Drosophila melanogaster: one gene and its partners. The protein of the gene in region 1 interacts with the protein of each later gene in a pairwise test. Each region holds a gene or a part of one and is shown in the gene's direction. Other genes may lie near its edges.

What was found.
Region 2: the proteins of CG6569 (region 1) and Mondo interact in a two-hybrid assay, tested with the Drosophila melanogaster proteins (one large-scale study listed by BioGRID).
Region 3: the proteins of CG6569 (region 1) and CG6276 interact in a two-hybrid assay, tested with the Drosophila melanogaster proteins (one large-scale study listed by BioGRID).
Region 4: the proteins of CG6569 (region 1) and Sem1 interact in a two-hybrid assay, tested with the Drosophila melanogaster proteins (one large-scale study listed by BioGRID).

Annotation. Positions count from the first base shown.
Region 1 is NT_033777.3:21,865,672-21,873,714, reverse strand, and holds CG6569 (uncharacterized protein), read left to right. Parts: upstream 1-5,795; 5' UTR 5,796-5,871; coding exon 5,872-5,906; exon of another isoform or gene 5,907-5,970; coding exon 5,971-6,310; intron 6,311-6,360; coding exon of another isoform or gene 6,361-6,363; exon of another isoform or gene 6,364-6,388; coding exon of another isoform or gene 6,389-6,421; exon of another isoform or gene 6,422-6,450; coding exon 6,451-6,948; intron 6,949-7,005; coding exon 7,006-7,205; intron 7,206-7,264; coding exon 7,265-7,472; 3' UTR 7,473-7,542; downstream 7,543-8,043. Other genes in the region: CG31431 (uncharacterized protein), read right to left, coding at 194-843, 914-1,127, 1,190-1,305, 1,575-1,680; CG31174 (uncharacterized protein), read left to right, coding at 4,201-4,496, 4,554-4,676, 4,733-4,925; lsn (larsen), read right to left, coding at 7,543-7,690, 7,754-7,900, 7,968-8,043.
Region 2 is NT_033779.5:21,305,245-21,314,186, reverse strand, and holds the start of Mondo (mondo), read left to right. Parts: upstream 1-4,136; 5' UTR 4,137-4,248; exon of another isoform or gene 4,249-5,248; 5' UTR 5,249-5,399; coding exon 5,400-5,899; intron 5,900-8,942. Other genes in the region: crc (cryptocephal), read right to left, coding at 1,979-2,089, 2,144-2,312.
Region 3 is NT_033777.3:15,315,112-15,323,551, reverse strand, and holds CG6276 (uncharacterized protein), read left to right. Parts: upstream 1-3,482; 5' UTR 3,483-3,638; coding exon 3,639-3,725; intron 3,726-3,786; coding exon 3,787-5,112; 3' UTR 5,113-5,349; downstream 5,350-8,440. Other genes in the region: ear (ENL/AF9-related), read right to left, coding at 1-1,876, 1,948-2,134; CG44040 (uncharacterized protein), read right to left, coding at 2,945-3,127; CG14866 (uncharacterized protein), read right to left, coding at 5,414-6,057, 6,114-6,658, 6,731-6,909.
Region 4 is NT_033779.5:7,062,093-7,068,837, forward strand, and holds Sem1 (suppressor of exocyst mutations 1), read left to right. Parts: upstream 1-1,893; 5' UTR 1,894-1,993; coding exon 1,994-2,105; intron 2,106-2,160; coding exon 2,161-2,288; 3' UTR 2,289-2,368; downstream 2,369-6,745. Other genes in the region: Nuf2, read right to left, coding at 2,369-2,882, 2,940-3,312, 3,373-3,673; Ugt307A1 (UDP-glycosyltransferase family 307 member A1), read left to right, coding at 5,891-6,546, 6,598-6,745. UniProt on the Drosophila melanogaster protein: Subunit of the 26S proteasome which plays a role in ubiquitin-dependent proteolysis.

The DNA of each region.
Region 1 (8,043 bases):
TAAAAGTATAGGTTTTCTAGATTTTTAAAAATGTCCTTATTGATGTAGGCATTACAGTTGACTCGATTAGCTCTAAAGTTCGCATAAAAAATTATATATTTATTTCAGATTGTAAGTCTACTTTTCATAACTCTATAGACAGTCTTTATCCATAATCTTAATAAGCGTAGTGCAGCTTCAAAAATATTCGGTTTTAATGCTTGTTTCCCCCGAGGACACACCTTTCCGTGTCCAGATCCTCGTCCGAATCTATTCGCTGGCAATCGCCGTGTCCCACAGAGCAACGTTTGTACAACAGATAACTGAACCACACGGTCAATGGAAGAAGAGCCAATCCCAGTGGCATAAGGAAGAGCAGCAGGAACTCCCGTCGATCGCTAGTCGGAACTCCCTCATCTTCATTACCGTAGTCCGACCAGTACTCATTCTCCTGATCCGTATCCTCCACATCGGCCAGCACATCCAGGAAAGCCTCGCGGATCTTATGGCCTCGATAGCTGATGGCCACGCAGGCGTAGTGTCCGGCATCTCGTAATCTCACTCCGTCCAGAATCAATTTGCTGAGATATATCTGGGGTGCCATCATCTTTTCTGGATCGGTGGACAGTAGTTCATATGTTCGACCATTGTACCGGACAATATGGTTGCTAAAATTTGAGGTTGTGGGTGCCGAGGAGGCTTCGCCACCTGACTGAGTTCCCACGTACGTCTGCCGGCGAAACCACTTGATTGTGGGATGCTCCTCGCTGTGAACACGGCACTGGAACACCACCCTACTGCCCACCAATGTGGTCTTGTTGTTGGGATACGAGTCCACAAACTCAGGGGCTGCCAATGAGGTGTCTACAAATAGAATTTATACATAATTTTCGATATGGTATATGGTATATATGGTGATGAAAATTGTACATACTTTTAACATCCAGCTGATAGGTGCGAACCAGTTGAACATCCACAGCCTGGGCTTTATCCCAAATGTGCGGATTAATGCTGCATTTGTACAGTCCCGAATACCGCTCCGTCACATTCCGGAGCCAGAGTTCCGGACGACAAAGACTCGGCTCACATGGCAGAGCAGTCCACTCGTCCACAGATCCCAACTGATGGCAATTGTTTTCGCTGCATTGCTGAAATAGTTTAATGCTAATCAATGGGTACCAACAATAATAATAATAATAATAGTACATACCTTAAAGTACCAATGTATCTTGATGTCATTCAGCATACTCTCATCGACCAGACCTTTGAGATTGCACTGCAGCTTGACATCGAATCCGGCTCTCTGTTGAATTAACTCTGTGTTCTCTGCACCGGCAAAAAAGATATAACAAAAATTCCGAACCATTCAATCAAGGCAATGGCAATGTTTACTTTTTTCTGTGTCAATGATAGCCAAATTGACAGTATCTTATCAAGCGTTGTGCTCCCCGAAATTGCGATTAACCTTCTGAATATTTTGACGAATGAAAGCGGAAATGTGTAGTAACAAAAAGAGCTTCTAAATGAAAATATGCACGTACTTATATATATATCTTCGAAATTAAAATTACCCTTATAGTAAGAACTAAACTCACCTGTATAGTCAACAAAAAAACAGCGGGACTGCTGAAAGCCGCACAGGCAAATGAGTATCAATAGCCAAATGCGGCCAGACCACAGATCACAAATCATCGGATCCATTTCCACTTAGCATATCCGCGACATTGTCTTCCACTTGCTATCGCCGAAGGAACCTGTCGAACACTTTGATTAGTTACTTTGGGGCACACACAATCGTTTGGCATTTATTTATTTGAATTCCGCTGGCTGGCCGGCCATTCGTTTATTTCCCAAATGATCGATTTTCATTTAATTTCTTAGCAAACAAACGAGGCTCTCAAAGTTTCTATTTATTTATTTGGTCGACGCGGTTGCATTTCCACTGGTTCTAGCACATTTTTCACACATTTTATTGTGCGCTGTCGGCAATGAGTGTAAAAATCCACTTTTGTTTATTTACTTGGCCATTCGAAGCGAACGGGTGCTCTACATTGGCTTACAGACACAAACACTGGGCCACAAATCCTTGGTGCGCTCATATATATAAATTATCAGAATTTCGCTTCCCATTTATTAATAAATAGTGAGTGCCATTTATGCAACAATAAATCATTGCCGCAGCGATAATGCTCGTTTATCAATTGATTGGCGGCTACCACAGAACTTGCGGGGGCACTCGATAGATTGAGAAGCGCGTAGAAGGGGCCTAACTTTACGAATAGTTTTTTTTTGGTGTGATTAGATGCGAAAAGCTATGAATTGTTGGGAAACATATATGATCTCCTAATACATAAACATTAGTTATAGACTTTTGATTAATTGACAGAAATTTAGAAAGATATTATATTTAAGAGAATCAAACGTTTATATTGTTTCAATATTCCGTTTGCGTGGTATGTCACGAACAAATCATTTGTCGACCACAAAACACGAAGCTCATAAAACACTTTTAATACCAGGGACGTTTGTTTATGCATTTCATTTTCCAAGATCTGCGATCTCTTCCCATTGTGATGGAGATTTATCTGTGTTGCCCCACTTGATTGGCATCGACTCAATTGATTTATACGATATCATTTATTAGGTGAAAAGTTGATTGTTTAATAGACAATTTGTTTACCGACCGGGCCGCGACCAGTGGAATCAAAATAGGAGCAAACACACTCACTGTGGCTAAAACCAGATGGACAACTGACACGACGGCTTCATAATCGCCTTGCTTCCGCTGATACGGTGTATTACTTTTTTTCCACTAGTTGGAACTCCGGGTCTGCTTCTCCGGTTACTTAATGCCACACACAATTTGTCGATGCTCACTGAATTTTCGCGAATTTTGCAAAATTCTAGATTTTCCCCGTCTGGAGATCCAATTGCTGCTGCTTTCCCACCCGAACAATTGGCTATTGAGGTCCGTAAATATTGTAGCCACATCGATCTTGCGATCGTTTTCTTCCGTATGCGTTCCGTTCGCGGGGCTGGCTATCAACAAACTACTGTAATACACGATTTGAACAAGTGTTACCCCTCGGAGGCGACGGCAGCGGCCACTGTGGGCAGTGCACTGAGAGAAAATTCAATGAAAAACTGAAGAGAACTTTTTATCCCAAAGATAAAATCACTAGGGCTATAAAATATGTGTATTGGTTTATGCAAATTGAATGTTCAAGGTTAGTACTAATAGTATTTAGAGCATACACATACACATCTACCTCCTATTTCTTCCAGTGTACATTTGCTCTAGGTTCTGGCATTGCTGGGGAACAACAAAATAAATGTGTTTTATAAGCAGTTTTGCTTATCGCATAACAATATCGGTGCGTAAATATACAGTAGTCGATGGAGTGAACCGATATGGGTCTAGCCAGACACCTATGTACATATCCAGTGAAGGCACCCGCACTGCTATTGCCACTTCCACATCAAACCGAAGATTAGAGAGGCAATGCGGATAGCTGGGACTGCTTAGCTTTATCGGGCAATCCGAACGCTTTTCTAAGCCATAGATGGCCAGTTATCATGTAAATTCAAAGTGTTATTTATACAGCTCTTGTGCGAGTCACACAGTGGGTTTGGTTTTTGGTGATAAGCCATGGGTTTCAAGCGAACCCATCGATAGCCGGAGCTTATCGGGTGGTGGTGGCTTATCAAACGGCCCATAAATGGAGCAGAAGCCACCGGCTGCTCGACGCCGGAACTCCGCGATACCAACAAATGGCGTCTATAGATTGCTACAAATGGCGACAACAATGCCACCAATTTGACCAGCAGCTCCAATGCTCGCCATGCTCGAAATGCGCAACAAATCCAAATTAATTCCCAATGGGCCGGTCAACAAAAGCCCCCCAGCCAGACCACTTGATAACTTCCCGATGGGCATGTGAAACTGATTAATGTGGCATTATAAATAGGACTCAAGTATGTGGTTGGGTCTTAATCGAAATTAGCTTACTTTGGGTAAAAATAAATTTATGGTATTTACGATAAATAAACAAATGCGCTTATTACTCGAACTGATTTACTTTGTGATCGAGAAACAAATGGAAACATGTTCCCTTTGCATTTAGTTTACTATCACCATTTAATTCAGTATAAATTTATCGAGTTATTGGTCTTAAAGCCAAGGATATAAAGTTTTAGGTTTTGGTTCAGAATCAGGACGATATGGACGACTTGAACGATGTCATCGCAAATTTGAGCATTAAATCCAAGAACTTTATAGATGAGGCTGCAAAATCATTAACCCCAACAATGGTGGGATTCAAAAGAGAACCTGAGCGAAATCAAAACTGTACCTACTTTATGCAGAATACCTGCCAGCTTTATCAAAACATTTCTAAATCCCATCCCAAGATTGAAAACAGTGTTAAATTCGATGAAGATTTTGTGATGCATATGGAACCTGAGATCAAGGTGGAATGCTCTGTTGATGATCCCAATAAAGAAGTTCAAATTTTGCTGTATGATCCTAAATCATTTACGTATAATATTTACATGAACATTTTTTTTTAACACAGAAAAAAGGAACGCTTGAAGCAGAAATATATGGAAGCTTTGAAGCTGGATGAAAACCTTGAAGCTAGAGTGAAACAATCGGCCATTGAATCCAATCCCGATATGGAGGAACAACAAGCTGAATTGTGAGATCATAACTTTATTTATGATAGCATTTACTTAACTTTATTGGCATTTATAGAAGAAAACTTCACAAGGATCAAGTGGAAATGTACAAAGGTGTGCAGGAAGAAATTATGGTTTCCTTCAAGAGAGACATGGATGATCTAATGCAACAGTATGAAGCTGAGTACTCGCGACTTAGTAAGGTCCACTCTAAGTGGGTAAATTCCGAGAATGATTCCACCAATAACTCAAACACTCATCAGCCTTAGTCATCGCTTAGGAATTTTTAAGATTTTAGCATTTTATTAGTGAAATCAAAACGTATTTATGTAGTTTCTTGGGTTTTAACATTTGACAATAAAAAATATTCAGTATATCAAATATTTTGTTTATTTTATACAGCTTTTTTATCACTTTTCCTTTGGCTTCAGCTCACTTAGTTCCGTCGCGCTCGGCCAGCAGATCCAGCATCACCTCGATCTTAAGATTACACATATTGTTCTCCTCCTCGAGGGCACGAAACTTCTTGTTCAGCCGGAGCATATCATCTACGTCACCCTTTCGGGTCGAATGCATCCAGATGCCGTCCGCAAAACGCAGCTCCTTGTTGCCCAGCGTTAGGGAAATCTGGCGGAAGTCATCCAGATCCTCGGTGGCCACCGGATGTCCTATATTGCAACGTCCCTGACGCACTGGAATCGGCTTCGACTCGAACTTCTTGTTGAAGAGCGGCATTGCAAACAACTGAAACGGAAAGTTGACCACATTTCGATTACATCCCCATTTGTTTGCCACTGCCCCGTTGCCCAGGACAACAGACACTTGTCAGGGGATCAGCGTTCGCGGCAGGACTCGTGCCAGGTTTTTAATGGCTAGTAAGACCGTATCCATATGTACCTGCTTGAAGGGTAGCGGCTGGCTGTCAGAGATTGACGAGGGGCAGCAAAAGGTTGCCAGTTGCATAAAATCGGTGAAATACAGAGAACTCCTTGCTGCACGCGGGGATACGGATGGATTTCTAAGCCAAACTGCCTTCAACAGGATTTTAAATGCCTGATAATTTAAAAGACAAAGCTTGCTTCATCGCAGAAACTCGTCTCATGTCAAACATAAACATTTTGTTTGGTTCATTGATGAAATTCTATACAAACACACAATAAACCCGATACACAACTCTGCTGTGAAAAATAATATGATTCCAAACACACAACAAATATGACACAACACGAAAATCAGCAAGCCATTCTCAGGTAGGAGAGCAAAGGAAAATTTGTCAACTAAAGTTAGTCAACGCGCAGCCAATTCACCATTTAGCAACTTTGTGCTGGAAATGTGTGAAGGAGTGGATCGACTGATGCGGGATCAGGCCGAACTGAAGGTTCACCTCAACGAAATTCTAAATGAGAACCGCCGGCTGGACATCGAATTGGCCAAATGCAGGAGCATCTTGGTTAGCGGCGATTACCAGGAGCTCAAGCATCGCCTTCAACTCAGCAACAAGGCTTTGGACGCGTCCAAGAAGCAGGTGGATGAGCTTATCAAGGAACGGAACAGCCTGAAAACCATGCATGACCTCTCCAAACAGACCATCGAAACCATGGAGATGGATCTTAAGAATTATCGCGTCCAATTGAAAATGTCTGGAGATGACCAGGTATTATTGCACTTCATCATTCCAATCCCGTATTGATTATCATATTATAGTAAGCTTTGACCAAATCGTATGTTTTAGGGACCAGAGACTAATGGAAAAATCCTAAAGTAAACTTCAACGTTTTCGGAATTCAATTTTAGGTCATACAGCGGTACTCGAAGATCGTCAAAGTGCTGGAGGCAAAAGTTGAGGACCAGCAGAAGGAGATACGCACGCAGGCGGAGACCATAAAGGCCCTGCACGATCACAAGCAGCACAGCGGATTGCAACTCCAGCAGCTGCATGCTCAACTGCAGGATAGCGAGCAGAGTCAATCCAAGGTGTCCATCCTGCAGAAGCAGCTTAAGGAGTACGAACTATCGCTGAGCCACACCCACAATTTGCTCATGGAGAGCACAAGACGGGAAACCGCCGCCATGCGCAAGCTCGAGGAGGCTATCATACTCAGCGAAGAGGCAAACAAGGAGAAAATAGATGCCACAAAGCTGGCCGAGACCTACAAGGAGGAGATGACCCACCTAGCCTCCAATATCGGTACCATAATGGATGAGGCCTCCACACGCGTCGACGTTGAAGTGGGCCATCTGAAGAATATGCTCAAGCAAAAGGACATTATAATTACCACCATAAAGGAGAAGGTAAAAGTCTATATTCGTATAATAATTATCACTTATAGTTACACTTACAAATTTTAGCTGAAAAAACTGGCTGTCGATCATAAGTCGGTGGTGCACATGCTGGAGACCCGGAGCAATCGCCTGGAGCAAAAGTACAAGGAGGTGCTGAAGCAGAACGATAAGCTGGAGGCCGAGTTGGAGGCAACTTGCCGGCGACTTGGCGAACTGGAGCGATCCGTTACTGAAGCTTACGGTGGGGATGCCGAAGATGCCAGGATGTGAGTATACAACATAGACAATTAATGACAAACATGATTATAAATCATAACGCTTTTAGAAAAATGTACTATAAGTCTCAAATGGATCGCTGCATAATGGATCACAAGAAAATGAAGGAGAAATACCGCGAGGGCATGGAGGACATCACGCAACGCTTCGAATCGGAAATTTACAAGTTAAGGGAGGAGAACTCCGTGCTGCTGGCGGAAAACGAACTGCTTAAGAGCGGTGCCGCAGGCGATAGCTCCAAGCAGACTTCACGCTGATTTTACGGTTGTACAAATATATATTTTATGATAACTCTCGTACATAATAAATTAGTTCTACGAGATCACACTATGTGGCGGCCGTTGTCTGTGCGTTTCGACCGGGAAACAAACTGGGAAACCAATAGGCTGGCTCATCGCCCGCCTGCTTGTCAATCCAACAGAGACCTTCGCCGAGCACCTTGTCCAGTGACTGTTGAGCACGATAGTCGGTCCAGCTGAGAACGGATAACACGGAAATCAAAGGGATATTCAGTTGAAAGTACAAGTGAAATTCTTACCCCAAATCCTTGATCAGCTGACTCTGCGTAACACAGCCTTGTTCGGTATTGGATGCGGCATTCAGTATGTTGGTCTCCTCCATGCTCAGCTCTCCGGGAATGGACTGAACTATGTACTTGCCCTTGCCCAGCTTGTGAACCACAAAGCTGAAGGTACGTTATGGAAAACGAGAAACTTGTGATATTGAATGCAAGCAGAGGTAATGACCCATACCCGTTGCCAAAAATGCTCAATTTCTTAGCGGCCATTAGGATGTCCTCCTTGGTGATCTCCTGGTGCACTGAACTCT
Region 2 (8,942 bases), on another chromosome or scaffold:
CAACGGACTCTGCACAGTGGTGCAAATTTAGGTGTTTTGTTTTATTGATCTGTAGCTGAACAAAAATGAAAATAGCTGGGAATTTGGAATCTGGTTTCTGAATATTTTTCCGTTTAACTTTCGTTTACTTTATGTCAAAATCAATATTTTACCACAGCATTGCTCAGCCCTTTTAGTTCTTCAAAAATTGCATTTCTAAATTACACAGGTTTTCTATACAGTATTATCAACAGCTTGCAGTGTGCACCTGACCAGTCAGTAACTTTCCACCCTTGACAACAATCAAGTCTCTGTGCAGGTTGCTCTCAATTTTAGTTGGAATAAAGATTATATTACTGAGAAAAATTCAGTAAAATTGAAACTCCACTTTCCATATGCATTACACAAACTATGTACAATGATATACTAAAATTATTAAAGTATTAGCAGAATCGTTCGTATATGCATATATGTACAATATACATGCTTGAGATGTTAATAGTAGTAATCTCCCAGCATCTTGAAATAACCAATATAACTTCATCTCCTTTTATTTAAAAGGTATTTATAAAAATCTACCTGAATGAGCCTTAGTGACAGTCTCAAAACAGGGGGCACGTCATCCGTAAAAATTTACATTTCAAACAAAGAAGCTTCCTGATCGACCGAAAAATACATACCAAAATTATGATGGTCATAATGTCAAATGGTTCATTGATCGCAGATACTTAATATATTTCACTAACAAAACATACACTATAAGATTAAGCTTTCAAAAGGGGCAGAGTCATAACCACCAGAGAATGGATCGAGTTCCTACCTTTAAAATCATACAACCCAGCTGTTATCTATTGAATTCTTAATGTATTACCCGAACGTCAGCAATGAGTCGAGAGAGATTGCTACAGAGAGAAGAGAGAGTCCAGCCGATCACTCGCTTAACGCGTGATCAAGTACGCAAAAAACCGATCAAAAACTGATTTCATTGCTCTCGCTTGATCTGAGTCTTTGTTGTGGCCTGGAAATTGGCCATTACAGCGCTTGCTTGGCGCTCCGTTGATAAACAATAATAAAATGCACGGTGAAAACCATAATACAAAAACACGCTCATGCTCAAGCTAAAGAGGGCCAAAATACCAGAAACATACGCTAACGAAAACAAAGCAAACTTGAAACCGGTTCCTCAACTTTACCTGTCGGAATTTTAGGTTCAAATGCGATGTGCGAGACCCTAATGACTCAGACAATGAAATCCACTTGATCTACACTAATTATTAAGAAAGAGCTCTATACAACAAAAGTTGAGTTTTAATATTTATATAAAGATCTTTTTTGCGGGAATTTTGCAGACGTTCAAAGCTCCTGCAAATATCTAAATATTTCATTTTTACTGATTTGCCATAGGTGTATTTATTTAAGATATTTGTATCTAATTGAAAACTCAATTTATTAAAAACTTCTAATATAAAGATCCGGACAATTTAAGGTTCTCAAATATTTTTGGAATATCAATAGAAATGTAATCCCTTTTTCAAATAATTGGTCGTGAGTATGCTTGCTTAATATCAACTTTCTAGCTCTTGTTGTTCCTGAGATTTTGATTATCACTCGGACATGGCCAAATCGACTCGGCTAGTAATTGAATAGAGTCGGAAAAGCTTACTTTTATTTATTAGATTTCAATGAGCCTAGTTTCCCATTGATCTACGAGTATCAGGCATAACTACCAATTATCTTATCATAGTAATCATAGTAACGGTCTTTGCTTTAATATTATGAGCTTCAAGTTATAAATAAAGTTATTTTGGACTTTGAAAAATGTAAGACTAGCAAACATTTGGGTGCTTTAATAAGAACTCTAAGAGGTCGTTCTTATGGGTTTAAGACCTCCTCGCAAATGGGTTTATCTACATTTTGCGCTCAGCTACAGTTACAAGAACATTTATTATTTTACATTATTATTATGTACAAAAAAGTAAGCACACTAAAATATACCTACCTTCATCTTTCAGGTCAAAGATCTCCACAACCATCTCCTCATCACTAAGCAACTGGAGAGAAGCTACCTCTTCCAGGGTCAAGGCTTCATCATCGCCAATAAGAGTAATGCCTTAAATTAAAATCCTTAAAAATCCTTTCAAAAAAACTTTTAGGCACCACAAACCATTTGCAAAGTTATCGTCATACAGCCACTCCGTATCGTTTGAGTCAGTGAGCGGAAACAGATCGGAGCCCAAAACCGATGTTGGGGATTGTGGCTCCATCTTGAGGTCCCAGTACAGCTCCTTGGGCAACTGCAAGCTCTCCATGGTTTGGTGAAATGTCGCGTCCATATCCAGAGTTCAAATCAGGGGTCAAAGATATGTTTTGTTTTGAGAGTATGAAATCCGGTCCGAAGAATGAGAATGGTTGTTTTCGCGGTGTGTTTTGTTGTTGTGAAAATGCCATGATGGCGCTGAGAATTAAAGAAACGAATTAATTATGATTAATTGGTTCGCTGTTCAGCCCACAGCTGTTTAATGACTTATCACGAGTCATAGTGATAATGAATAGTCGCTACCCTTTTAAAAACACTTTTAATCATTTTACTGTACCTCTTATATTCAAATTAATCTAAGGGTAGACTACATTCATTGAAAACTATGAAAGATAAATGTATTTTTAACATTTTATTACCAAGAGTCAATATTGCCGTGTCCACCACCAAAAAAGTTGAGATTAAGCACGCAAATTTTGATTTTAATTTTCTTTTTGAAAACTTCTTTCTCCCCTCTAGCTTAGTAATATAGTAATTATGTTTTAACATTTTAGGTAAATATAGAATGCAAGGGTAGAGCTGCAATCGCGCAGCCGGTTTAAACAGCTCTGTCCTGGGCTGTGTCCGCTTGGGGTAGTCCTTACTGTGGTGAGTCATCTCATTTTCGCACGTGCAGGCGACTTGCAACGCACATTACTCAACTCCAGTCGGCGATTGCGTCAGCCAATTTCTTTACCTTTACCAGGTGGCATGCCCCACTGAGTTTTGATTTGCCACGTTCGCCCGGTCAATTGAAAATCCATACAAGGCAATGCCACCAACACACGTGCAGCAACAATGAATGAGTAGAACGCCAAGTGCGGCAGTGTGCGTGATAAATTGCGAAATTAGCGAGAATTTAGCTTGGTGTATACTCACTTTTGATTTTTATACGTTTCCATTTTGTTGTGTTTGGGCACCTAGGTGCTGCTTGTTTTTGCTTGCGCGCAAACTATAGAGCCATCTTTAGGTTAATATAAATGCCGAAATCGTGAGAGAAAATAACAATTGAACCTTTTTGCGTTTCATTTGGAACGGTAATGAGTGTTGGAATCAGTGTTACCAGATCGGGAAATGCCTTGCTACTTTCTACTAAATAATCCCACCCCTTTTTCTCACAAATCTAAAGCGCACAAAATCATTCGTAAAGTATTATTAAATGACTATATAAAAATTTTGAACTGAACAGCAATTTCATTAAGAACCTTCTAACAGTACAAATGAAAAAATTCTCTGAAAGTATAATGTCTAATATAAGCCCGAGAAAGGTATTTAAGCAAAAGAACATGGGAGTGCGAAATCCTCTAGTCTGCTGATAAAGAATTAGGCAGTTACACTACTTTGTAACAAGGTGTGCAGTTTGAATACTTATTATTAAATTTTAACCGGAACTAATTCAATGTTTATCGATAGTTTTTTGATGTGTGATCACTAATTTTATTCTGGGTATTCTATTCTCTAACTTAAACAATATAGTGAACATAAAGGGAAAATATCCATTTTACATAATTTTTCCTAATTACTTAAGCACAACAATGTTTAAAAAACACATTACATTTGAGTATAATATATGTATATATTCTAGTTTTTCCTATTAGTCTCAACGCATTAACTTTTTATTGATGCGGTTTCAAGGTGCTGTCGGAAAAAGATATAATAGCAATTCCATAAAACTGGAAACTAATTACGGGAAATAGCCGTCCTAAATTCATTGTATTGCAATTTCGGAGCAGGAAACATATGACCTCGTATGCTGCCCTTCCCAATCTTTACGTTTGGGGTGATTATGCTCATTCTTGCGTTTTTCGGCTCGCAGCTTTCAGCCATTTTTAGGAAGAGGGTGCTGTTTATCAGAGCCACCAAATGCTTGACAACCCTGATGGGATGGTGAGGGCTCGCTACCCGCAATAGGTTAATGTGTGCTATATTGTGATTAAACTACGTAGAAGCTTTGTGTTGCGCGTGTGTGCGTGGTATTGGTAGTCCGTCGTGCCTGCTAACTGCCCGTGTTTCTGCTATAGGGGGCAGTTGCAGTTGTACCGAAATTGTGGTGCGCGTGCATGCGCGTGTATATGAGTGGGAACGGAAAAAGGCAAAATGCAAAGGCAGCGCTGAGCCAGAGGTCAAAAGTGCAAACACAGAACTGCTTGTGGAGTGCATACTCTGGATGGCAAGGCCGAATGCCAGGAGTCAAATCGACTGAGCTCCATATAGTAATAGTGGAGAGGGGGACAACATTGCTGCCTGACATCTGCGCATATAGAAGAACACGTACATACATACATATACATATGTATGTACGTTTTCCTAGCTGATAAGCAACGCTAGCGAGGTAGGGAGAGAGAGAGATTTCGCGTCAGCTGTTCATTGTTGTGTTGTGTGCGGCGCACAGGTTATGTGCGTTTCGCAGCTTCGTTCTCCGATCAGTTCTGTTTGTGGAATGAAACCGATCGTTCTGCGCTGGTTCTGCCCGCCTTGTTGGCCTTCCATCAGATCCGCGTGTGTTTACGAGTAGTTGGGGCTTCACTATCTGTTCAAGGAGCTACAAGCGGCCACTGACGTCTCGTTCTGACGTCCGTATCCCCAGCCAACCCCGCCGCGATTGTGTGTGTGTGTGTGTGTGCGAAAATTGTTGTTATTGTGCTGTGTGACGCATATAACGGCAAAAGCGGGGCGTGTTTGCCATTAGAGAAGCTTCGCTCCGGAAAAAGCAACAATTGGACAGGTGTCGATGACGAAAAGCTGAAGGTGTCGGGCATTGTAAACAAATCAAAATCTTAAAACCGTGCTATGTCTCTATCAAATAATCGCTTATTTTAGTAATTTAGTTAATAGAATGACAAGGACAAACACTAGATGAGAGAATTAATAAATGTGTTAACCACGAGGCAAGACAAAACATATTTTTTTTTATAGTCTGCGAACGTTTACATATTTTGAAATGATGGAAAAACCCCATCCAAATTAAAAAAGGGTCAGCACCAGCTTTTAAAAGCCTTTACTACGCGAGAGACATTAAAAAACCATTAAATGTGCCCTCGCCATATCGACATAATCTGCAACCGCCAAAATTTTGGCTCAACAGTAAACTATTTGCATAGGCATCCCCTGGCACCTGTTGAAAATGATGCTGAATAAACACGAGGGATACCAACGCACAAGCCAAATGTTTCCCCACCAGCAGCACCAGCTGCCTCAGCTGCACCAGCAGCCTTATCTGCAACAGTCTCTGTGCCAAAACTTCCAGCAATTGCAGTACGAAACGGGAGTAGGTGCTTCGGCGTCAGGGTCCGCCGAGGCTACGGCAGACCTGCTCAAGGCGGAGCGGGAGTCTATCCACTCCGGCCAGTTTATGGTCTCGCACTTCGAGGCAGAGGAGGCGCAGGACGACCTAGAGGATGACGGCGAGGTGAAGATGCTAGACCCTGAGGACCCCGGTCTGGGCAAGCCGGGCGAGCCAACCAACACATGTCGTGACGTGCAGCTTTACGTACCCCAAACAGTGGCCCACTTCAGCGCCATGGACCAGGAGGGCGACGAGAGCAGCATGAGCATGGTGACCTCCCACCTGGAGATAGAGACCTCGCTCACCAAACTCTTCAAGTGCATGAATCTGGCCTACAGGTGAGTTGAAGACTCGTACTCGAGACCACAACCGAACACCGGGGCCCTGAAGATTTATGAAATGTTGTTTCCCGCTTGTTCACGCGTTTCGAGCGTGATAACGCTCAACTGGCCAACGAAAATCCAGCAAACGAAAAAGCTTGGACCGCTTCGGTCCCATAATCGCGGCACATGTTGAGACGTGACGTCGCTGCTCAGGTTACTTTGGCCCCACATTGCCTCAATCGCTCCTCTGCCACCCTTTATACCCCTCTTTCTGTTACTTCTCCCATTTCTGCAAACGACAGCGCAATCATAGAGAAAATATTAAAGTATTGCCAAAGCAATATCAGAATGAATTAATTTTGCAAAATGAAATGCAATTTGCTTACAACATATTATTATCTGAGACCTTATCAACTAAAAATCTGAATTGTGAAGCTATTGTTTTTTGTTTTTTTTTAAAGAACGAAAAGGATTTGTTTAAAAAAAGTGTTATACAGTTTTAAATTTTAAATTTGTTTGTTATAATGATGGTTTTTAGTCACTATAAAACAGCTACGGTAGTTGTTTGTATGATCCATATATATACGCGTATTGTTAATAACTACGAATTCGGATTTCCTTACATTTTTCACGACCATGTGATTTCATTGTTGTTTTTCACTAAGTGACTAAGTGCTCTAGGAGAGTGTGCGTTCTCCTGGATGCGCTTTAGCGACTACAATATACACGAGGAAAAATATAAATTTAAATTTATAACATGCTTCATTTTGCACGCCCGCCGGTTGTTTTGATGGTGTTAAGTTTCGATGGAAAGACATTTCCAAACGCTTTTTTTGTCTAAATAACATATTAAAAGAGAGAACAACGTAATTGTTATACGCTTCTACTCTACGATTCTAGATACTAGATTAGTTGAAAAGTATGCAACGGGCGTTTCCGACTTGATCAGGATCTATAGCTGGGTCAATCTAGCCATGTCCGCCTGAACGTCGAGATCTCAGGAACCCTATAAAATCTAGAAGTTTAGCCAAGTTAAAACCGCAACTTTGTTTAGCCATGTTGCCACGCCCACTCTAACACTAGCTGAAAACTGTCACGCCCACACTTTTGAAAAACGTGATCATATTTTTTCACATTTTTATTAGTCTTGTAAATTTCTAACGATTTGGAAAAAAATTGTTTTCCACGCCCACTCTAACGCCCTAAACCGCCCAAAACTGCCACGCCCACATTTTTGAATAATTTTTTCATTTTTTAATTAGTCTTGTACATTTCTATCCATTTACAACAAAACTTTTTACCACGCCTATTCTAACGCCCTAAAACCGCACAAAACTGGCACGCACACATTTTTGAAAAATTGTTGGATATTATTTCATAATTTTAAATTTCTATCGATTTTCCAAAAAAACTTTTTGCCACCACCACTCAACGCCATAAAGCTGCCAGTCTTTAGAACAATTTTTAAATGTATTCTCATTTTATTCCCCAATATCTATCGATATCCCAGAAAAATTTTGAAATTTGGCGTTCGAATCACTACCTGAGTAACGGGTATCTGATATTTGGGGAACTAGACTATAGCATTCTCTCTTGTTTATTTTACTTTTTGCTGTTTTTTTTTTTTTTTTTTGAAGCGGCTACCCATTTTAATAAAATTTAAAGTTTTGTTTCTCTTCTAATTCCATGATTTTTAATACACAACATTCATATTTACATATACATATTTAAGTCCAATTCGGGACAAGTGCCAGTGGGAATGCGAAATCAAAATTGCATCATTTTTCTACGATATCGATAGATATTGGGGAATAAACTAAGGAACAAATTTCAAAATTGCTTAAATGTTTCGCATGATCGTTTTGTAGATCTGAGAAGGGGTTTTTGATATACCATAATACTGGCAAGACAAACCATAAAACGAAGAAAAATCTAAACATTCTTCAAAAGTGTGGGCGTGTCAATTTGGGGTGGTTTTTTGACTAATAAACTTATGAAAAATATCCAAAAATTTTTAAAAATGTAGTCGCGGCACTTATGGGCGGCTTTAGGGCGTTAGATTGGGCGTTGCAAAAAGTGGTTTGGCAAATCGATAGAAATTTACCAGATTAATAAAATTATGAAAACAATATCCAACAATTTTTCAAAAATGTGGTCGTGGAAATTTAGGGCGTGTGTTGCATTATGAATCTCGACGTTCATACGGACGGACAGACGCACAGGACCAGATCGATTCGGCTATTGGTCCTAATAACGGGTATATATATAATGTTGGTGTCCTTTCAGAACGGTACACCTATCAATAGGTAGAACATATGTTTCATAAGATGATGCTGAGAAAGTGGGAAAGTAACAATTTAGACAATTTTAATCTAGTGGAAATTAATTACCCACAGAAAAACGTGTTCTTAAAAATACGCATTGTATGATTTTTCTTTTGTTTCATCGCATTTGCTAGTTTTTTATCTCGTCAAACCTTTGATCAGATAGTCGAAAAAAAACTTATTATTGCCGACACAGCACAGTCCTCTAGTTTCAATAGCTTGGTCGGGCAAAAATTTAAATATTAAAAGGTTTTTAAATTTTTTTTGTTTAATAATATCACATTAGCTGGTACTTTCAACTGTTAAATCTTCACAAATTTTTTTCCGTTGAACCATTTAATTTTTTAAAAGTCCTATTAGTTTTTGCGATACCTTTCGATACGTTTAAGATTTCTTTTAGTATAGGACTTTCATTACTACAGGACCGTTGTCCACAATAGTAGACGCCCCTATGTGAACTGCCGTCCACAGTTATATGCTTTATATATATTACTTTATGAGGACAAAAACATTTTTAAAGTTACTTTATGAGGACAAAAACACTTTTAAAGTTCTGATTAAAATACATATAATACCATATGAAATGGTTTAAAAACAATTATTATTAAAACTTTTATCACAGTTTTTATGTATTTCATATTATATTGCTCCATTTAAACAAAAATTGGTAAAAAATAATTTAAAAAAAAAACAGTCGGAATAATTTATGTCTATAATTCCCTATAATTGCTTGG
Region 3 (8,440 bases), 6.5 Mb from region 1:
TTCGTCGGCTTCTGCTGGCTGCTACTCCTGGCGGGTAGGTCGGGAAAACTGCTGTTGGAACTGTCGGAGTGCTGGAGGGTGGCGGCTGCTGCTGCAGCCAGAGCGTTGGTGGCGGCAAGATCCGGCGCCGACTGTGCTGAGTCCATATCGCTAAGATCTAGGTTGCTGGGCGTTTTGCTCTGACCCGACTGTGACTGCTGTGACTTTCCAGTGTGTTTGGTATCGGCTTGCTTATCGACGGCCTCCCGTTGGCGCTTCTCATCCTTCCCAGAGGATTTCTCCTTGGACTTTTTGTGCTTCTCCTTCTTGCTGCCGCTGCTGGCACTAGCACTAACAGGGGTCTTGTCCGGTGCCCCTCCCTCGGTGGCTGGACTGGCCCCCTCTAGTTTAGGCGATGGGTCGACCGTTGATGACTTCTCTGAACCGGTCACATGCTGTTTGTCCTTCTCCCTTTCTTTCAGCTTATCCTTGTCGCGCTCCTTGTCTTTGTCTTTGTCCCGATCGTTGCGCTCCTTCTCCTTGTCCTTGCTTTTTTCCTTCTTCTTGTGCTTGTGGGATTTCTTGGTGTCCGTCGCATTTCCATTGCTTGTGCTCTTATCACCCTTAGATTCTGCGGCCTTTTCGGAATGCTTTCCCGTTGCCTCCTCTTTTTGCTTGCCAATGTTCGAGACCATGCTGCTGCTGCTATTGCTGCCAACCGATGTGGGCGTGGCCTTGCCGGTACTGGCCACCTGGGACTGCTGCTGCAGGTGGGCAGATTGAAGGTTTCCGGAAGCCGGACTGTCGGACTGGCCAGGACGCTCGTCTTTGGGCATTCGCTTGTCTTTGCTCTCATCGCGCTGCTTGTCCTTATCCTTTTTATCCTTCTTGGATTTCTTGCTGGAGCTGCGCTCCTTGTCCTTGGACTCGGATTTGACGGACTTGTGCTCATCGCGCTCTTTGGAACGGGAAGTAGGTGCCACCGCACCAGCGGCTGAATCATTTGCCGTCTTCTTGGGACTGGGCGCACCCATTTCGTTTGGCTTTCCAGGCTTAGGACTTGCTGTGTGCTTAACCAGTCCTCCAGCTGTGCCAACAGAAGTAGCCACCGTAAGGGCGTTGGCAGATGTGGTATTGCCTGAACCTTGCTCGCGCTCACGCTCCTTGTCCCGTGATTTATCCTTCTTAGACTTTTCCTTATCCCGTTCGTGCTTGCCATCGCCGGACTTACTGGACTTTCGGTCTTTGTCGCGACCATGCCGATCTTTTTTGTCCTTCTCCCGCGGCTTGTCTCCGCCGCTGGACTTATCGCGATCCTTGCTCGCCTTCTCCCTGCCCTCGTGAAACACACCCTTTCCGCCAACGGCAGCACTTTTAGCCTCCGGAGAGTGCTTGGAGACAGGCACCTGGGCCATGTTGTTGGCCGTTACGCTGGTCTTCGTGATAGGCGGACCGAAGAGGGCAGAGAAGGCATTGCTCTTTCCGGGATCCTCGCTGCGCGACTTGTGTTTCTTGCCGGTGTTTAAATCCGAGTTCATGGATATTGTACCTGGTACGCCTTTGGCTTTGACACCAGACATCTCATTACTGTGCGCTGTCTCACCGCTGCCAACACTGGGCGAAAGCGTTCGGGCGAGACTGCCGGCACCGATGTTAGCTCCGAACACTGGCACTCCACCGCCTCGCATAAGTTTCGTGCGAAACTCCTCCGACGGCGCCTCGAAAATGTGCGTCTTTACCTCGACGTGGTGCTGCGGTGGACCCGTGGACTGCAGTACCAGGTCGTACTGGTAAACAATGCGCTTGGGTTCGTCTCGGTTGCGAAAGTAAATCTCAACAGGCAGTAGGAAGCCAGCGTAGCCGGACTCCTGAATGGCATACGGCGGTTCCTTGACCACTGCAAATAAACAATTCGGGTAACAGAGTTAATCCGACTGAACTACTCCCATGATATATCGCCGCATTTACCTCGTTTGGGTTTCGGAAAGGATTCGTGCAGCACAAAGACCACCTTCTCCACAAAAGCACTGATGTCCGCCTTGTTCACGCCCTGAACGTAGATCTCCCAGTCGTGCGTAAAGGCCTGCGGATGCGGTGTCTTCTTGCTGCGCAGCTTCGACGTGTGGCCAATTTCGAATTGCACCTTGACCGCCATGCCTGTGGGTAGGGCATCAAGTTCCAGTGATTGCCTGCAATTAAGTGGTGAATTAAGATGCTACGTATTAGCGCGCCAAAACCAATGCAACTCGAGTGTGCAAGCACTTAAGCTTGATGCGACGTAAACAAATGATCGCCAGTTATGTGGAAAGGCCCAATGGATTGCCAAACGAGGTGTTAGCCAAGTATTGCGCTCCTTGCTTTCGCTTCAGTGTGCATGCGTGATTTCTAATGCGAATCCTGTGGCAGGTCACGTCCTCCAAGTCTGCGCCTGGCTTTGGAAACCTTTCAATCGGTCTCAGGATGCCCGCACTAGCTACCACATTTTGAATATCCTTTGATAACCGACGTTTTTTGTTATGATTCGCTTTGCGTTCAATTTGTTATTGTTTGTGAGCGAATGTGTGCCACAATGTGGACTTTTCATGTTGCAAGCTTTCGCCGTGTTTGTGGTTTCCTTTAGCCACATGCCCCCACCAGCCACGCTTTATACTTACTATCGCGCCGTGCGGCATTCACATGGAGATGCGCACAATTTTCAGAAAAAACGTAAAAGCTTGGAGCCAGAATCGAAGTAAATTTTGGAAAAACACAGAAAATAAAATCCAAAATGGTAAAGTGTGACCAAAGTTCGGGGCACCAAAAAATACACTTGAGTCGGGTAAAATATACTAGAATATGCGTTGCGTTTACTTTTTCTAGGGTGGCTCGTGAAATTAGTTTTAAATATGTACATATATCTAGTTTAAATTCATTCAGATTTTTAACTCGATGCATTTTTTAAAGAATAGAGTGCTTTATTTGTTTCTTAGTAGAAAAAGTATAGTTTCTTGCCACATGGTCCTTGGGGCCCATTTCCGCACGGAACTGGGGATGGTGCCGCCGAAGTGGTTGAAGTATCAGAGGAGGCTTCCGTCGTGGTTGTCGAGGTGGAGGATGCAGCGAATCCAACGATGGCGCACAGAAGGAACAGAATGGCGAAGAACTTCATCTTGATTACTCTTTTGTGACTGTGATATTTTCCCGGGGATAGTTGCTCAATTTTATACCTTTCATTTTTAGATTTGCAAATATTGACACAAATGCTTCAATTCCGCCTATGTACCAAATATCAAGAGAAAAGAAACAATTCGGCAAACACTGCGTGGTACTTAAATAATGTGTTTTGTGTTTGTTTAGAAATAGCAACACATGGAATTTCGCTTTTTGCCACTTACAGGTTAAGCTTTTAAGCATAGCACGCGGATTCAGACAAGATGATATATATATGGGAAATTTTTATATTGCATGATCATTGTTTTTAAGGAACCCGCATAAACCAAAATAGTCAGCAAAAGCTTCTGTGATCCGGAACCAGTTCGGCCGCCTGTTTGGTTCACAGCACTTAAAAGAACACTTGGGAAAAACAATAAAAATATTTCGCAAAAGTTATGGCGAACGCTGGATAAGTCAGCCAAAAATTGAATCCATCGGAGCGACTGCCTTGGAGCCACAGCCCACCCATGATGACGACCGACTTCGCGGGCAGCCAGTTCGTGTCCAGCAATCCCAACACCAGCTGTAGTGCATCCCGCTGGCTAACGGAGGAGGTATTTGCATGGATATGCAATTTGAAAATGATTTGATTCACATATTTCTGTTGTTCTGTAGGTCTTTAAACTAATCGAAATTGTGCAGCGCGACGAGGCCATCTACAATCCGAGGCACAAATACTACTTTTGCCGCCCGTACGTGGAGAACTTTTGGCGCGAGGTGGATTTGAAGCTGGAAAAGAATCCGGGCGCCAGTCTGGCCAAGTGGACCAATTTGCGCATCTCGTTCCGACGAGAGTACACCAACTATCTGGAGGAAAAGGTGCCACCCTGCTGGTCCTACTTCGACCGCATGTTCTTTCTGCATCCGTATCTACGCAAGAAGCACCAGCAGCCCAAATCGCTGGACACACAGGTGCAGGACGCCCTGGCACACCTCTCGAACCTTTCTAGTCGTATGCAGCGTGAGCGTTCAGTGACCATTCCGGGCAGCAGCAGTATTGGTGGCCAGCCCACGCCCTCCGCCCACCAGTCACCACCTGCACAGCAGCTGGACAACTATCTGGACTACTTTGACGAGGCGGAACACAACAACTCCGAGCTGGATGACATCATGGAGGAGGAGCAGCAGCGCAACAGTCGTTACCACGGCCAGTTGGACGGCAACGACATTAAGTCGGAGTGCGAGGAGCCGGTGGATGACTACGAACAAGAGGCGCACGAGCCCGAGGAGGATGAACAGGATGACCAGGACCTACACAAGATGGCGCCTACTTCTAGCTCTTCATCGGCGGAGGCCCAGCGTCGTTATGCCAACCAGCATTCACACGCCAGCCGAATGCTTCCGGGTCGCCTCCAAATGCGCACCTACCATGACGAGATGCGTGGCGCTATTCGTCCGCGTTCCCAGGAACTCCAAGCTCCAACTGCAGCAGTGGCCGGGGTCAACTACTCCGCACAGCCGACTGCCCATCCAAACATTTCGTTTGTGCGACCTACTTTCAGCAAGCCCGTGGATTTGGTTAGCACTACAACGCACGCCGGAGGCGGAGGAGGAGGAGGTGTTCCAGGAACTGCTGGCTTATCCGAAGCGGAACTGCCCACACCATCCACTGCGGCCGTGGCCACCCCGATGGCGCCCAGTAGTAGTGTTAGTGCCAGCAGTAGCAGTAGCTACTTGAGTCAACGGCATGGGCACAACCATATGCATGGAGGACATCCACAGGTGCCGCCGTCAGCGCTTCCTCTGCGTTTGGAAGCCAACAACGCGTCCGGCGGATCCGTGTCCAACGGCGGTGCGGAGCTGTGCGACTGCAAGACCGATCCGGATGCCATGTTTCTGATGAGCCTGCTGCCCGACATCCAAAAGCTGAACGGCCGTGATCGCGGCAAGATAAAGATAGCCTTCCAGAACATCCTGCAGGACTACCTGTATCCGGATTAGCGTTGATCTCTGTGTATACCTTCCGCTTAACGCAAACGGAACCCAGTTCCAGTATCGATTTTGTTTAATATTCTCTTTTGTATTTTCGTTGGAGAAAAAAAAAGAATCCTTTAAGCTTCGCTGTGCAAGAACAAAGTATCCTTAAAAACGTTTTGAAAACTATCCGGTATGTTTATTAATTGTATAAATATTTATAAATATTTAATGTGTAACACAAGAATAAATTCATTTGAAATTATGCGATATATGGCTAGGTAACTTGAAGTATCACATGAGGATCGGAATGGGTTGCATCCCATCCTCACTCGAACAGCTTCAGCTCGCGGGTGATCTTCTTGATCTTGTTGTCCAGCGTCTTGTCCTCGTGCTCGCAGATGTAGTAGTGCCGCGAGGTGCACTCCTGTCCGTAGTACACATAGCTGTGCTTTCCGGCATTGTAACTTAGCCGTAGGCAGCGACCCTTGCCCTCTATTTGCACCGTGTTGTTCAGCACATCCTCGCCGGTCGCCTCCTCTGCCGCCTGCTCCGAACTGTCCACCAGATTGGCGGCCGTCGAGTTCTCCCCCTTCTGGGCCATCGCAATGGATGTGAGATTCATGTTGGGATTCACCGGCTTAGCCGAATTGGACCAGATCCAGAGGAGGCCAGGATTGAGACCGCCCAGCCAGTAATCGCGACCACGATGCGTCGGCTGATTCAGCAGATAGGCCATGATCTCCTCATTCTCCGAGACCTTCTCGAACTCGGCCAGGTGGGAGTTTAGACCCTTGCAGGCAGAGTTTGCCGTCTTCCAGTTCACCTGCTGCTGGCTGTTGATGTAGTAGCAGTTGTCGCTGATGCGCGTGAAGTTCGCGGGACAGGGATCCTTCACCTCCTTCTGATTGTTTCCGGCCATCAGATAGTAGATCAGCTGCTCCGAGCGCCGCACGCGACTCTCCAGGTAATCTATGGGTGTTTGCTTTTACTTAGACCAAGAACTCCTAGGTGTGACTTCAACTTACCCACTCGATACACCAACTTTTCAATGGCTCCCAAGAGATAAAGATCATTTTCGGAGACAGCTCGGAATGTGGTCGGCTGACCGCCCACAAGATGTTGCTGTTGCGGGTGTTGCTGCGCTATCTGTTGCACTTGCTGCTGTTGCAGCGGCACTGGTCGCACATGTTGCTGTTGCTGGGTACCGCTACCACCACCACCACCACTGCCACCTATGCCAAAGAGCTGCTGCAGGAAACCCGGTTGCTGGCGTTGCTGCAACTGTTGCTGTTGCTGTTGTTGCTGCATCTGTTGGTGTTGCTGGTGCAACATTTGATTGGTCATGGGTCGGAACTGAGGATTCACAATGGGACTCTGGCTCTCCACGGGCTTTCGCAGATGCGGCTCTAGTTCCACCGCCTCGCCAATTCTCCTGGTGATGTAGATATTGTTGCCGGGTCGCTTGTAGGCGGACGAGTGATAGCTGAGCGGTCCATTGATGCCCATGTCCGCGCCCATATAAGGCAGGTCTTTGGACTTTCGCTGGCTGCCGCTGCTACTGCTGCCTTGGCTATATGTAAGACAGACGCGTGGGAAGATCTGGATGAGTGTGTTGCCCTAGCCTAGCCTCCTGTAACCATACCTCAAGACGTAATCTTCGAGAAATTGCGACCAAACTGGAGATGGATCGTCTGCGTCCGCGAGTGATTCATTGGCGTATTTTTGCCTAGTTTCACCATCGCTGCCATTGCATAAGAGTGCAATACCTAATGCCAGATAAACAAGGGCCGTAAGCCGGAGTTGTTGACCAGCCGGCGGCATGGTGACACGTAATGTTTACGGATGGGTATATTGCCCCCGCCTCGCTAAGCACTTGGCGATTCCAGTCGCGTGGTGAACACTTTCGATTTCGTTGCGTTTTCCGTGCGGTTTATGCCGCGTCCGCTGTTCAAAGACGTCCGTTCGCTTGGGTCGAGCTGAAAACCACGACTGAAGCTCTGCGCTTGACTTTGGGCCTGGTCCGCTCCGCTCGCTGATCGCCTCTTCCTTCCCCTCTTCCCTGCTACCGTCGCACCGCTTCAATACCATGCCAATGGCAATGGCCAAGACCAGACCCAACCAGACCGAAGACCCATTGTTGTTGCTGCCGGCCGCCGAGAAATGCAAAATTTCACTTTCTCCTTCGCTTGGCTGTGGTGGGCAAATGTAAGTCATTGGGCTTTTCATCGGCATCTCTACTGCTCCGCTCGCCGCTTTTGTGGACCGGCCCGGTCCGACCCACTGTTTGTTTGCACTCCAACCAAATTGGCCCAGACTTAGGTAATTGACGCGGCTGTCAATTGAAGCGAAAACTGCTGGCTTAAACTTGAATGAAATGGAGTTTGGTGTGCTGGATGTGCCATGTTCATTTGGGTGTTCTTCGACTTGTGAGGAATGACTTTCTGAATGCGGTTAACTAAGAAAGTAACTTAGGCGATTTTCTAGTTCCTCCCCGGGCAATATAAACATGGAATAATCATTCATATTTCAACTTCTATCTTAAAGATAACAGCTTTTAAAATATCAACCGTTCTCTATATATTTCTTTTTAAAAGCTAAAAACAAAAGTTTTTTTTTTTAAACTCGAAATGACTCTTTCTTTTTTTTTCATAAGATGAACATATCTGCCAGCTTCCATATACCATAATGTAAATTATGTAAATAATGACTGGCGCTTTAAGTGGGTAATTTAACACACCACTTAACGATTTAATAACTATTTTATGGCCAACGTCGCGAGAAGAGCGAGGAGAAATGGAAATTCAATTCGAGTTCAGTTTACAAGAAAGTCCATTTGGCCAAGAGAGCAACAGACCCACATGTCGAACGCGGCCTTAACTCACTTATTGATGGTCAAAACGGCGAGCTGCCCACATCTACAATTCATATCTGGAAATCACCCTGAGGATGTGTATATATGCCATATATATACAGATAACTGAACTTTCATTATTCATTGCTTTGACAATTAGCGCGGATGCTAAAGATGTTGCAATGAAGGCCTCGATTTGCGGATCGTGATCCATCTCCGATGAAGTGGTGACGCACTTCGGACTTGGTTATTTCGGCCCAGCATCCATGGGGTTTCCCAAGAGTATGAGAAATCGGTGGAAAAAACTGAAGACTACTTTGCATATCCGCCAAAAATGTAGTGAACTTCAGCGCGATTCGCTGAAGGGCAAAGAAATTCGGTTTTGTGCATCATTGAAAGCAAACATCAAACATATAATTTTTTTTTAGCAAAGTTTTTATAAATTTTTTTATACTTTTTTTGTGGGTGTTTTTTTGTTTGTTTGTGGTGTAATTGTAAGAT
Region 4 (6,745 bases), on another chromosome or scaffold:
AGACGAAACAGAAATTAAGCCGTTATAGAACGCCTAGCGTTTTAAAAAGAAATTTAAAATGTGAAACACATAACACACAGACATGTCCCAGCAAACAAACAAACAAGCACACGAAACGCTAAGCTATGCTAAGTATTTATGATGTATTTTTAGCTGTTATACTTTATCCCCTATGTATTTATTGCTACAACTATGTGTTTTCCCCTCAAGCAAGCTTAAAATCTTTTTTTTTTATTGTGTTTAAGCGTAACTTAATTGGTGCTTTTCTTCGAAAACGAATGAGAAATATAGGTTCTGTGTTTGATTTGATCACACCTTGAGGCAAAAATCTTGAAAAATGTTTTTTGAACAATAACCGAATTGAAGTCCAAATGGATAGACGGACTGCTCGTATTTATGTATTTACTTTAAAGCATTTTATTGAGGCTAAGCTGATTAATTTAACTCTATTTACATATATATCCTCTAATATTTAAGAACGCAAATCCTTGTTACGAACTGTTGACTTGAAGCAACAAAACAGTTGGCAAAACCGAATGCTAAACAAATGAATACATATTTAACACTTCCTCTATATGTGATACAACACTTTTTCTAGAAAAGCTTTCATATTATCTTATAAACTAAATAGAATTAACCACTCTCCACACACTGTAAACGATCACCACTACTTAAGTGGGCTGGCAGCAGCAGGACAGGCTCTTGTTCAGGGATAATCCAGATGAATGAATGTATGTCCCGATCCCACGGATATGTGTCCCATCCAACTTGTCGCCCCATTTAGCTACAGCAATTACGGAAAATCGGAGCTTGTAACAAATTGTTAAACGATGATAATAATTGCATTGAATTTAATTTGATTTGTGCGTAGAGCATCTGTGATGAATAATAATGTTTAAAAAATGACGGAGAAGGAGCGAAGTGGAGAGCCCAAAACCACACACAATACTGATCAACAATATTACTAATCAAATATAAGGTGTTTTATTCCTCGTATATAACATTAGCAGACTAAATGTAAACACAAACGAAATCAAACAAACTATTTAATTATGTAGATTTGCAGACCGCAACAACTAAATGTTAAATGTTGAACTAGAGTTAAAATTGTGAACTCTAGAAACCGAAACTAACGATGCAACAAAGGAGTATATATTTTGGCATACAAAATTTTTACCATTAAGTCAACTAAATGGAAGAATACAAATTGTGAAATATGTTTTATTTTTACTACATTTCGGACAGCACGAAAACCAGCCCAAAAATAGACAAAACTTAAAGTTCGCTATGCAATAAATCAAAAGGCAGCAATTCAAGAACGGAAACAATATGAAAAACTATACGCATATAACATATATATTTATTAATGTTAACATATGGTACATTTTTGATCTAATTGTTTAAAATAGCCAACCAGCAGCAACAGTTAAATTAAATGTAGCTTAAAACCCAAATGCTCAATAATCCCTTTAGCTTGAAAACTAAATAGCCAGCCGTAAAAATGTTATACAAATCATTAAATGCATATAAAGCCAATTTTAAAGTCTACAACAAACCTGAGAAACTTGAGATCTTAAATGAACTTCATTTTTAAAGTGCTTCAACTTTTTCGGGATTGTAATAGCTTGCGTTTGAATTCAACTCACAATTTAGTCGGGTGAAAAGCCTAATTACTTAATTCTTTTACTAGAAAAGGAGAAATATATTAGAATTATTAACGGCTGTGTCAAGTTGCCAAATATCTGCCAACATTTGTTTGTAATATTCTTAATTAATTCTTTAGCCTTTTTTTCTAGCTATAAAGTTAGATTTGACATCACTGTCGGGTGCCAACGGTATTTTGAAAGTATTTTTTCCTGTTCACTTGGGTATATTTCGACGGTACAGCTGCGGTCACACAATTAAAAGTGACTGGCATCATTTAGCAACAAAAAACGCGAATAGCGTCAAAAACATTGTTTTATCGCCGTTGGAATTAATAAAAGCACACAAAATGTCTGCCCCAGATAAGGAAAAGGAGAAAGAGAAGGAGGAGACCAACAACAAGAGCGAAGACTTGGGTCTCCTGGAGGAGGACGACGAGTTCGAAGAGTTTCCCGCCGAAGGTTGGACGCAATAATGTGGTGGTACATCGGCAGTTTCTAATCACTTTCATTGTAGATTTCCGCGTTGGCGACGACGAGGAAGAGCTAAATGTGTGGGAGGACAACTGGGACGACGACAACGTGGAGGACGACTTCAGCCAGCAGTTGAAGGCCCATTTGGAGAGCAAGAAAATGGAAACGTAAACCGGCACCGACCCCTTTGTTCAGTCCTAACCATAAAAACGAGCTGAGCTGTTTTGCATTAATAGAATAAAATCAGTATATTAAGTGGAATTCATCTGCCAGTTTTGTCCGAGAACCTCATGGATTTGCTCATTTAATATGGCATATAGCTGATCTTGCTCCAAATTTTGCTGGTCTAGCTCGATCAAGTGATTATTCAGATCCTCCAGACGTTTCTTGCGATCCTCAACATCGACCTGCAGCTTTTTGAGTTCATTTTGCACCTTGTGATTCTCGGCATCGTTTTCCTGGTTTCTTTCCTCGTACCGATGTGCACAAAGAGCGAGTTCCTGCTTCTTGGCCTCTGCATCCTGAAGGAGCTTCTGATAATTAACTTTACAGGTGGGCAACTGCTTTTCCACTGCCTCCAGCTGCTTGAAGCTCTCTTTGTAATCATCCACCTTGCACAGCGAAAGCACAGCCGTGGCCTTCTCCAAAGCGGTGGCTATATGTTGACTGTTTTCGATCATCCGGCGATGTTCATTCGTCACCTGTTTTTTACTGGCCAGCTCCGTCTTGCAGCTCTCGACATGCGACGATGCGCTCTTAATTTTCCTACAATGTTTGACATTAAAATAAGCACAGAATCTAGGCTTGCCCGACAGCACTTACTCTCGCAGCTCTGTCACTTGACTGTCCTCCACCACTAGCTGTTCCCAGTGACCGATGCGTTTGTCCAGCTCACCCTGCTGCTGCTCAATGAGTTCCAGAGTGTTTTCATGCTCGCTACAGGACTTCTTCAAAGGTAGAAGCTTTGCTTGAGTATCCTGCAAATCTTTCTTGAGTTTGTTTATGGCCACTTCGCAATCCTTCGTCTTCTGGCTGCATTGCTCCAGCTGTTGACTTTTGGCCTTCACCTCGGCGGTCAGCGAATCCTTTAGCTTAATGGCCTCCTCTACAGGTCCCAGCACCTTCTTTTTGAACACCTTGTAGTAGGCCAGATGGTTGAAAAGGTAGCTCAGCGTGGCGAGCGTTTTTTTAACAGCTAATAGCCAAAGAATTGTTTAATAATAATTGCTTATTGTAAGACCGGCTGCCGGCTCACCTGGTTTAATTATGTCCATATAGGTGTACGTCTTGTTGGGAAAGCTGATCTGGACGATGCGCTCCACTTGGCGGCACACTCGGATAAGAAAGACGCGCGCCTCCCGCGACGAGTGACCGAGTTCGGTGCCAATCTTATAGGGCGGCTCCAGGCGAAAGCCGAAACTCCGCAGATAGTGCACCATGATCTTGGTGACAATGGGCTCGGTGGGATTGGCCAAGTCGCTTTGGCAGATATTGATGTCGGGCATCAGGCAGTTGCCCTGGTCCATTACCCTTTCAATTTCGACTGATAACGCCATTCAATCCAGAGTTTTAATTTTTAATGGCAGTTTTTGAATGGAACGCCGCTAAGGGATCAGATTGATGTGACCAAAGCTTGCTAGCCCCAAAAAACCACTAAAATACTAACTCAGAATTTATGTGGTTTTCACACCTATAGTCCTACAGCAGATTCTCGGGTTTTTTTATCCGGTTTTCTTTCCCGGCAGCTAGAAAATACTGCATTTGTTCAGCGCAAACTTAAAAAGTAACGGAAAATCTGGCTAAAGTTACTAAGTTACATTTTTTATTGGTGAGTGAAAACTCTGGCTTCCTCCAGCGCTGCAAAAGATGATGCTAAAAATCTGATATGCCCGTACGGGGTTTTCTCCAAAACTTGGCCAAAAAAGGTGGCACAGCGAAAATAAAGACTGTTTTGTACTGCTAATAAACATACCTAACTATCCCTATCACTAGTTTTTTGATTTTCCAAAAATAAAATTTTTACAAAATTTCGCATTTTTGATAAGGGGTACCCTCATCAAAATTTGCAAAAAATTGAAGCCTCTTGGATCTTTCAGGTTTCAACACATATGGATAGGGAATTAAGTTACGAACTCAACGAGATATGACATTCCAGTTTTGGACAACTATTCTTATTGCTATTGCAAAAAACTCGTTATTTTTGTAACCAAAAAGGAACGAAAAGAAATTTTGCCAAAAATCGTATATTTCCAATCGCTGATTTCTCCATAACTTGGCCAAAAAAGGTGGTACAGTGAAAATAAATACTGTTTTGTACTGCTAATAAACATACCTAACTATCCCTATCACTAGTTTTTTGATTTTCCAAAAATAAAATTTTTACAAAATTTCGCATTTTTGATAAGGGGTACCCTCATCAAAATTTGCAAAAAATTGAAGCCTCTTGGATCTTTCAGGTTTCAACACATATGGATAGGGAATTAAGTTACGAATTCAACGAGATATGACATTCCAGTTTTGGACAACTATTCTTATTGCTATTGCAAAAAAACTCGTTATTTTTGTAACCAAAAAGGAACGAAAAGAAATTTTGTCAAAAATCGTATATTTCCAATCGCTGATTTCTCCATAACTTGGCCAAAAAAGGTGGTACAGTGAAAATAAATACTGTTTTGTACTGCTAATAAACATACCTAACTATCCCTATCACTAGTTTTTTGATTTTCCAAAAATAAAATTTTTACAAAATTTCGCATTTTTGATAAGGGGTACCCTCATCAAAATTTGCAAAAAATTGAAGCCTCTTGGATCTTTCAGGTTTCAACACATATGGATAGGGAATTAAGTTACGAATTCAACGAGATATGACATTCCAGTTTTGGACAACTATTCTTATTGCTATTGCAAAAAAACTCGTTATTTTTGTAACCAAAAAGGAACGAAAAGAAATTTTGTCAAAAATCGTATATTTCCAATCGCTGATTTCTCCATAACTTGGCCAAAAAGGTGGCACAGCGAAAATAAAGACTGTTTTGTACTGCTAATAAACATACCTAACTATCCCTATCACTAGTTTTTTGATTTTCCAAAAATAAAATTTTTACAAAATTTCGCATTTTTGATAAGGGGTACCCTCATCAAAATTTGCAAAAAATTGAAGCCTCTTGGATCTTTCAGGTTTCAACACATATGGATAGGGAATTAAGTTACGAATTCAACGAGATATGACATTCCAGTTTTGGACAACTATTCTTATTGCTATTGCAAAAAAACTCGTTATTTTTGTAACGAAAAAGGAACGAAGAGAAATTTTGTCGAAAATCGTATATTTCCAATCGCTCATTTCTCCAAAACTTGGCCAAAAAAGGTGTCACAGCTAAACTAATGACTGCTAATAAATATAACTAACTATCCCTATCACTATTTTTATGATTTTCCTAAAACGAAATTTTAACACATTTTCGATAAGGGGTGTAAAACTGGGCGACACATTTGATACATGTAACAATGAACTGGGTGAAACATAAAGGCGTAAGGTTTGAAGTTATCTGACTTAAGCACTTAAATAAATAGTTAAAAACATAAATAACTGTGCTCTTTGATTTTGTTAAATTTGTTAATGGCTCTGATTGGACAGCGCCGTGACGCCACAGTTTTCGACTTGATGTCGTTGGGTAACCAAATCGCTTGTTATCATTTTGATTGATTTATGGTGTGTCCGTGCGACTCTGCTAATTAGCTGCTAATGTAAATTTGAGTCGAGCGCCTCAGTCATGAAGCGTTCGCCGATCAGTTGGTCACTTCTGTGGATGGGCTACACATGCATTTTCCTGCTGGCCGATAGCCCAGCCCCTGTGGAATCCCATCACATTTTGGGTCTCTTTGTCAATGTGCACCGGTCGCAGTTAATGGTCCATTTGGCGGTATGTCGCGCTCTTTTGCAGAGGGGTCACCACTTAACCCTAGTCACCACATTGCCGCTGGAGGAGCAGGAAATTCAGGGAAATGTGTCACACATTTACATTCCCTGGCAGCAGCCAAAAGAGGAAGTATCCTCCTCGGACCTCATTCTGCGCCTGGAACGGATGTTTAGGCGTTTGGAGCATTCTGGAGATCTGCTTGATCTGCCGGAGTGGAAGATGTTTCTCAGAAATCAACCTAATACTCCCTATGATCTCCTCCTCTTGGGCTATCATTTCAACGATCATCTGCTGGGAGTTGCTGCGCATTTCAATTGTCCAGTGGCCATAGTTTCCACCCAACAGCCAACTGGATTTGTCAACAGCCTTATGGGTAATCCCGAGGAGCGTTGGTATGTCCCACAGCCGTATGATGGCCAACAGCGAAGTGGAATCTCGGCCTGGGTCTTTGGAATGTGGGAGAAGTTCATGGAGATTTTGGCGAGGAGAGTGCTGGCAAGGATCTACCGGTATGTATCTAAACGCAGTTGTTTAGCGATCAATTGAGATTTTCTTTTTAGTTTGCACTTTCCCGAACCGCAATATCCCAGTTTTGAAACCATGCGACGGTCGGTGGTTCTGGCTTTAAGTAATCATCACATGATCAGCGAGGGTCCCATAGCTCCACTTATTCCCAGTATGGTGGATATAGGAGGTATAGTCCTAGAG